Canis lupus familiaris: one gene and its partner. The protein of the gene in region 2 interacts with the protein of the main gene of each other region in a biochemical or structural test. Links are inferred from orthologs where the notes say so. Each region holds a gene or a part of one and is shown on either strand. Other genes may lie near its edges.

Region 1 (4,133 bases), on a different chromosome or scaffold from region 2:
CTCACGCCCTGCATTCCAGGCCCGGGAGCTGCCCCGAATTCCCCGTTTGTCTGTTCTGCCATTCATCTGTTTCTCCAATGGTCCCTGAGTTTCTCCCTGTGCCCATCCACCATTTGACTACCCAGATGCCGTTATCAGAGGGTCTCAGGATTTTCTTCTGTCCTTGTCTGTCCCTCTGTCTCTCCATTCTCTGTGCCTGGGTGGGACTGTGGAGTTTGCTCACTGTTGCCTCACCTCTCCCTGGTTTTGTTAATAAAATTTTGAAGAACCAACAGAGATTACTACTGGTTTCCACTTTATCCAGCTGCATCTGCACTCCCAAACCCCCTGGGTGAAAGGGCTGAGGCACACCTGTATTCAGGAGGAGTTGCAGTATAGAGCTTCGAGTATGCAGTTGGCAACCACCCTCTGCTCTGCAGGAGCTCCCTTGGGCAGCGGACTATGACTTACTAAGGGAGAGCCCAATGACGTACATCCTCAGCATTTCATCTTGAAACAACGGGTATACAGTTGGCGCTATTTCATTATGTGGCTGATTTCCCCCGTGACACCCCCGTGTCAGCATCGACATCCTCCAGATTAGACACGTATTCGCTGACGGCCACAAGGTCTCTCGTTGCCCCACAAACCCCTTTCCGGGCACGTGTGTAACAGAAGTCCGAGAGCCCCCTCCGCCCGGTCGCGGGGCCCAGCGGGGCCCACAGCGCAGCCTCTCTAGGGCGCGCACGCCCTTCTCGGTGGCACGGCCCTTCTGTTTACCTGCAGCGCGGCACCGCCCCCTTCGCCCGTTCTCGCGGAGGGAGGGAGCTGGGGTCGGCTTGCGGTGCGCTCCTCCCCGCGCGCTCCTGCAACTGCTCGCGGGGCGGAGAGGACGGGACACACGAGTTCTGGGGGAGATGTTTCAGGGGCCCGCACAGCACAGCGAGATGGGAGCGAGATGGGGGCGAGAGATGAGAGGAGACCTCCGGCGCCCCCCCTCCAACTACCCCGGGTGGAGACGGCCAAAGAGCGTAGCGCCCCCTCCTCCTCCACGCCCCCTTCGGTTGGGAGAGCGCAGGCGCAAGCCAAGTGGGCGGAGTGGGGAGAAAGTGCCGGTTGGCGGAGCGAGGCGCCGGGGGCTGAACGACTCCGGGTGGGGAGGGGAGAAGAGGGGGCGGTGCAGCTGAGGCCGGCTGTCAGGGCGCAGGCGCAGTAGGGCCCGGGCCAGAGGCGCGCGCCGCCGTGAGACTAAGCGCGCAGGCGTGGGGCCCTCCCCACTAAGGGCAAGCGCGGGAGGGGCATTAGCGCGCAGGCGTCGTCTGGGGGGCGGGGCCCTAGAGGCGGGCAGCGGGTTTCCGGTTCCGGGAGCAACGAACGGCCGCGGCAGCGACAGCTACCGCTTCAGAGGAAGCGTCTGCGGAGGAGGAAGAAGAGCAGGGCAAGGCGGGAGTCACAGGCGGGACCCTCGGCATGGGTCCACGGACCTAGAGCGGCGGAAGCTACCGGCCCGGTGCCAAGCTGGTGAGACAGTTGTGGGGGTGGAAGTGGAGAGCGCTCAGGCGTCGGGGAGGGAAGCATTGAGGCTCCGAACGCTGACGGAGAGGAATGAAGGGCCCTCAGGCCGATGAGTGGGAGGAATGGCGGCGTGGGAATACTGACGGGGAGGAACGGGGAGGTTTTGGCTGAGGACGAGGAGGAATGGGGCTCAGTGTGCCGGTAGGTGGACGTGTCGGGAGTCTGGACGAGGACGGAGAGGAGCGGAGAAGGATCCGAACGCCGAGGGGCGATCTCGGTGCCTTCGGGGTTAAGGAGTGAGAAGTGGGGGTTTAGAACGCTGAGAGGGAGACAGAGGGGCCCTCAGGTTGGTGACGGGAAAAAACAGGGGCACTCGGATGCCGAAGAGGAGCGACGGGGGCTCAGATGGAGGAGGAGAAGGAATAGGGCTTCTGAAGGCCGAGGTGGGGATGGCACGATCCTGGGACACGAACAGGGAGGATTGGGGGGTGGCTTCAGAGGGCTGGGGGGGGGGAATCAGGGTCTCTGAGAGTGTCAGCGGACGGGAGAGCAAGGGACACCGACGGGGAGGAGTGAAGAAACTGCTGAAGACGAGATGAATAAGGTCTGGGGATGGAGGTCGGTGAAGACTTGTGGCTCAAGACGCTTACAGGCAAAAGGAGGAGGCAGCGTTCAGGCTGAGGAACAGAAGGAATGAGAGGATAAAGAGGGGAGAAGCTGGGGCTCTCGGGCAGAGGACACAGGAACCTGAGGCAGTGGCATGACAAGAGGACATCAGAAAGGGAAGGAGGGAAGGAATGGGAGAGCTACAGGACTGAGAGGAGTTGGGCACTCCTGGGCCAACCAGGGGAGTGAATGCGAGGTTAGGGCACCGAGGGACAGTCCTGGGACCTTGGCTGAGGATGAGCGGGATGGGGCCTCTCGGACTGATAATGGGGAGTATGGATGGTTCAGGGTGAACCCTCAGGGGAGGTGTCAACACCAGTAGGTCAAAGACCATGTCTCTTGAGACGAATGACAGGTTCCTAGGTTGGCAGAGGGGAGAAGGGATGGGGTCTCAGGCTGAAGATGAGGAAGAGGTGGGGATCAGGACATGGAGTAAGGAATGAGGAGCTTTGGGTTGAGGATACGGCCTGTTAAGTTAAAAGTGGGGCTGCCAGGTCCGGAAGGGGAGGAACGACTAGCCTCTGGGCCCAGCACACGGAAGAATGAGGTGGGACGGGGGATTTTCTCTACTGTATTGACGGGTTGCCTGTGGTAGGGACCCGGCGTGGGATGGGCATTAGTAAATAGCAGCTGTTGGTGTGGCTAGAGCACAGCATGTTCTCTCCTAGAGCCTCAGTTTTCTCCACCGTGCCCTCCCTGTTGCAGGCCGCTGCTCCTTCCCATGGCCCCCATGGCTGAGGACTGGCTGGATTGCCCAGCCTTGGGCCCTGGCTGGAAGCGCCGTGAGGTCTTTCGAAAATCAGGTGCCACCTGTGGACGCTCAGACACCTATTACCAGAGGTACTGGGTGGGTTGTGGACGGTCATAGGTAGGGCTGAACCCGCTTAGGCAGGGTGAAATAGGGTGAAATTAGGTGTGGTTAATTTTGTGGGTGGGTTAAAATTACACATGTATAGTCAATTCTTATTTGTAGATTCCATGTTTGCAAATTTGCCTACTCACTAAAATTTGTGCCCTTAAAGCCCATATTTCCTGTACTTCACAGTCTTTCACAGACCTGCACAGAACAGCAAAAAATCTAAGTAGCCTAAAACACGCATTCGCAGCTGAGGTGCTGCAGTGCTGTCTAGTGTTCTTAGTGCAAGAAGTCTGTGATGGACTTTAAGGAGAAAAATGTGATGTGCTACGAGGAGAAAGTACACATTAAATAAATTTCAGGCATGAATTGTAGTACTATTAGGTGTGACTACAATGTTAATGAATCAAAGATGTGGTACATCTAGAAAAAGAAAGGGAAATTTTCTAATTTGTCCGATTTCCAGTTTCTGGAAAGTGCTAAAGTAACTTGTATAATACATAATGGAGCTAAGGAAAAGGTGGGCTAAACTTGAAGATCCATAAGGCAATGACCAGTAACAGTGTAGTGGACAGTGTGAGAGGCTTAAGGCCAATGACGTTGACGATTGTGTTACCCCTGGTTAGGAAAATGTTAAATTTATCTCAGCTAGTGCTGACTGGCTCACACATTTCAACAGGTGAGATTGTGAAAAAACTTTAAATTGGCTTACAAGGTAGGTTCTGGAGATTGAGAATTTGCAGACGAATTTTAAAAATAATAAGTGTTATATGGGAAAAGTGTCACATAGAAGAATAGGTTTTCAATAACTGATGAGACTGTACCTTATTTTACAAGTACCTTGGTAAAAGTACCTATATAACAGTACTCCAAAGCTGGCTTTAAATCATTCGAAGGCCATACATAAGACAAGGTTACACAGAATCAGTTGACAGAAAATCAGTTGAAAGAAATGTCACCTGAGGCTCTCAGGAATCTAAACTGTAGTTTCACTAGGAGCCAAGATTCTATATTCACTAATTCACGTGTGCAACGTGACTTTATAAAACATTTCATGAATGAGAACCGGCTATAAATATGTGAACATACGTATTTATAAGAGATTTATATATAAGGA
Region 2 (4,117 bases):
ATAAGAAGTAGTAAAAGCAATTCAAATTTAGATTTGAACTCAGTTGGTTTCTCTCCACTAACTTCAACATTTTCTTTAAGGTTCATGCTTAAAGAAATGGCTCAGAAAAAAAGGACAAATAGGGAGTACAAATAGCGACAAAACAGTAACATTAAACCTTAATTATCCAGCTCCCAGATTTATTATGCCTTCAATTATGCAGCCTAATAGCTAATCTGGAATTCAGCACAGACAAATTGAAAACTGTCATCAGTCCCAAAAGTAATAATCCCAGTGAGGTCTAGTTTATGCTTATAGTTGCAAAAATGCAACACAGCCCTGAAAGAATTAGCAATAATAACCTAAGTAACCACTTTGTATTTTCCCATGTATAAGCAATAATCAATGGAGTCATCTTGTGGACGTTGAAGGTAAATTTTATAATCCAGGATAGAAGGCAAAAAGAGCAGATCATTAAAATTTCCCCAAGGTCCTACTTTGAAGATCAACATAAACTGCTTTGATAATTTCAACCTAACCAGTTTTTCTCCAGTAATGAAGAACAAACTGAATATCTGGCTTGAATTGTATAAAATATCTGAATACAGTGAGCGGTTCAAACTATGAGAGGTATGAAAATGACCATGATTAAGGACATAGCACATTCACTTCCTATGTCATATTCACTCTAGGGCAAAACCTTACTGAAAGGCATGATGGATAAAATCTCTCTCACAACACTAAATTTGTTGTTCTATTCTTTTGGGGGCAACCTCATATTACTGGATTTATATAATGTAATGTTCATATTATTATAATCTATTATATCACATAAAAGACTCCTAACAATTTCAAAGAGTAGTAAGTAAATGAAGTGAAATATACTAAATTTGTTGATGAAACTGAATCAGTGACCCCAAATATATTTGAAGCCAAAGAATAAATGACCAATGATTAAGAAAAAAATTTGTCAAAAAAAGAAAAAATATAAATGCAATTTTGTGGCAAGACAGCAATTTCAAACTGTTAACTTGTGTAAATATAGATCTTATATTTTACCGTCATGAAATTTAAAAAGAACATACAGAATATAGGTTCTAGAATACTTCTCAAAATGAATTCTACAGTCTCTTAGCAACTAAAGTTCTACAAATAAGCAACCTAATAAATAAGCAACCTCCTGACACTAATGAAAGATTATAATTGTGATAAATAATCTGGTTTCAAACTTTTGTTTTCATTGTAAAAGCCTAATTGTTCTTTTATAAAATAAACTTAGAGTAATACTATACTTTTAAATTGGAAAATAAATACAAACCAATAAAATATCATATGTATCACTTTTAAATACAGGGGTCAATCACAAGAATTTAATGTGCAAGAAGTTGTTTTCTAAAGTTGCAGTACTTAGAAAGTTCAAAACTTACTGTTCTATGTCATATTAGTCAGGGATATATTCATATATCCCTTGACAAAACTAAAGAATTGTACTATACCATTTATTTAAAAATTTTAGTAAGTACCACAATTTAAACACTAGAGTTTAAAATTTCTGCTATCTGAAATATTATGTAAATAAAAATTTCATTCTTCTTACCCTCTGGGTCACTATTGACTTACCATATCTCAATAAATGTTTCCACTTCAGAAGAATGTTAAAGTCTTTTGAAAACTGTGAAACTAAATTTACAAAATCATTGAATTACATTATTTTTAAATATACCACAGGTTTTAACTAAGACTAAAGTGGATATCAACAATTAATATTAACCTAAAACAACTGAGTATTTATTTAAGCTCTCTTGCACTAGAATACATTAGCTAGAAAGAAAAGGAGTATGCAGACCTACATATGAACTTGTTTCTAATTCAAAATCTGAATGACAGAAAAATAAATTTATTATTTAAAAAAAATCTGAATGACAATTTAAGGAAAAAGTAATTAGAATAAAAAGTTAGGACCCTTAAAAATGTGAAAGAATTAAATGGCCAAGAGGAGGCAGCATAATGAGAAAGAATTAGAACCCAGAGTACAAAAAAAATCTGTTAAAATTTTTTTTTCTTTCTGTGCTATGACTTATATTCAGAGAATTAACATTCTTCCCAGAAAGCTACCAAACAATAGCTCCAACACACACACACACACACACACACACACACACACACACAGAAATCTCACTCTTCATGCGAAACAAGGCTTATTTATGGCTTCTTTCCCAAAAAAAATCTATTCAGCAAATACATTGTTTTCAATTTCTACAAAAAAAAAAAAAAAATATATCAAACAAACTAAAATATCCAACACAAAAAAAATATTAAGTTATTTAAGGTCAGAAAACACTATTGTGGTGATCAAATGTTCTGACAATGACAGAACATAAAATGGTGAGAAATTACAGGAATTTAACCTTTGACCTCACCATCCTAAGTACTGTTTCCCTAAAAGAAGCTTAAAGCAAACATTTCAACTTCCTAGCAAGCAAGCTCTAAGTTCACCTTGCTATGTAAACTCAGTAAAATTCAAGTATTCTTTAATTAAAATGGTCAAAGATAAAGAGTAATTGGTTCTTACCTCTGGTCCTGATGCATGTGCCAAGTCTCCTCACTGGCATAGTTGCTGCCTAAGCAGCTACAAAGACCAGGTCAGCAGCCATTTTGAGACAGCTGCACTGTCTCAGTTGCACTAAAGTGTAATTAAGATGGCTGCAATGTGCACTCAAGAACTCACACAGTGAAAACTCAGCTATGTATCAAACAAAGCCCCTCCCACTTTGTCAGTCTGCAGGAAACTGAACACTGACAACAGCTAATGCATATACTGCAACAAACAATGCAGCTGCCTAGGACACAGAAAACAGAGAAGGCAGCAAGCCAGTTTTGTAACACAATGCCTGTGAATCCGGACTTGCAATACAGACTTTGGGCACATCCAGATCCCAGACAGCCTGAAATCCATGCCACATATTAGCAGTTACAGAGATAGAGCCAAATCACACACAGCAAACATCAGGGAATACGCTTGAAAGAAAGCCTCCATTTCAGTCCAGAAAAAAAAAAAAAAAAAAAAAGTCTGCTCAAGGCCTTTTTTTTTTGTCTTTTATAGTACTTTTATCATGAAAAGAGTGCCAATTTTTATAGTTTCTGGAAAATTAAATTGTTTAAATCCTGATAGTCAATTTCTACTTATAGAAGGCTAATTAAAGATTTTTTTTCCACCACAGAGTCTAAGCCCCCAAGTACTGAAATCTAGCAGAATGGTTAAAGCTTGCAGTCAAATTTTTGAATCTTGACAATAATTTTAAATAACTGCAGGGAAGAGACTAGAGTCATTACAGCTATACTGGCAACAAAGCTTATTTTGAGGAATCTGCCCTAAAGATAAAATAATTTCTTCGCTTTTGTAGTCCAGATAGCCACAAAGATAACTCCAGGTGAGTGTTTGGTCCCAGGGCAAATTAAATTTCATTCCCTGCTTCAGACCTCCCAACATTTTAATATGAGGGGAAAACAAGGAATGTAGGCACCCCGGGGGATAAAAACCAAAAAGGGAGAACAGTAGACTAAAATTCAATATGAAAGTGAGTATACTAACAAGACAAATTTGAGAGAGATCCCAACATATCTGGTCTTGGAAGTAACCTACCCATCAAGAGAAGAGAAAGACAAGAGCACAGAAAGGAACTGTTTGCTTGGTAGCTCATATCATCTAAGAAATCTACCTTCTCCTTTTTTCCTTGGTTTACCCTTCTTAAGATCTAGCTGCCCTATGTGATTTTGAGTCTATCCATCACATGATATAGATATTTACTAAAATTCATTAAGGGTATAGGAAAGTGGTAGGCATACAGCTTAAAGGAGATTAGCACAAATTGATAACTGTTCAAGCTGAGTGATGGGCACATGGAGTTATTTCATTCTATTTCTGTATATATTTAAAATTTAACATAATAAAATTCAAAAATAAGACAAACGTAACTCAACGTTTTTTATTTTAAATTCAATTAACTAACTCAGCTTCTTAAAAGATCCTTACATATTCTCCAAGGGGCAAACTGTATAATGTATGTAAAGACTTAAGTACTACATTAGATAAAAATATATATATATATTATGCTTAACCAAGCCACATTAATTCTTC

Evidence for each region.
Region 1: the proteins of ATF7IP (region 2) and MBD1 form a complex in vitro, tested with the Homo sapiens proteins (2 studies listed by BioGRID). The link is inferred for Canis lupus familiaris from reciprocal best matches to the Homo sapiens genes ATF7IP and MBD1.

The regions. Positions count from the first base shown.
Region 1 is NC_049228.1:78,689,949-78,694,081, forward strand, and holds the start of MBD1 (methyl-CpG-binding domain protein 1), read left to right. Parts: upstream 1-1,325; 5' UTR 1,326-1,500; intron 1,501-2,865; 5' UTR 2,866-2,881; coding exon 2,882-3,000; intron 3,001-4,133. UniProt on the Homo sapiens protein: Transcriptional repressor that binds CpG islands in promoters where the DNA is methylated at position 5 of cytosine within CpG dinucleotides. Binding is abolished by the presence of 7-mG that is produced by DNA damage by methylmethanesulfonate (MMS).
Region 2 is NC_049248.1:14,001,677-14,005,793, reverse strand, and holds the start of ATF7IP (activating transcription factor 7-interacting protein 1), read right to left. Parts: upstream 2,806-4,117; 5' UTR 2,569-2,805; coding exon 2,552-2,568; intron 1,660-2,551; exon of another isoform or gene 1,600-1,659; intron 1-1,599. UniProt on the Homo sapiens protein: Recruiter that couples transcriptional factors to general transcription apparatus and thereby modulates transcription regulation and chromatin formation. Can both act as an activator or a repressor depending on the context.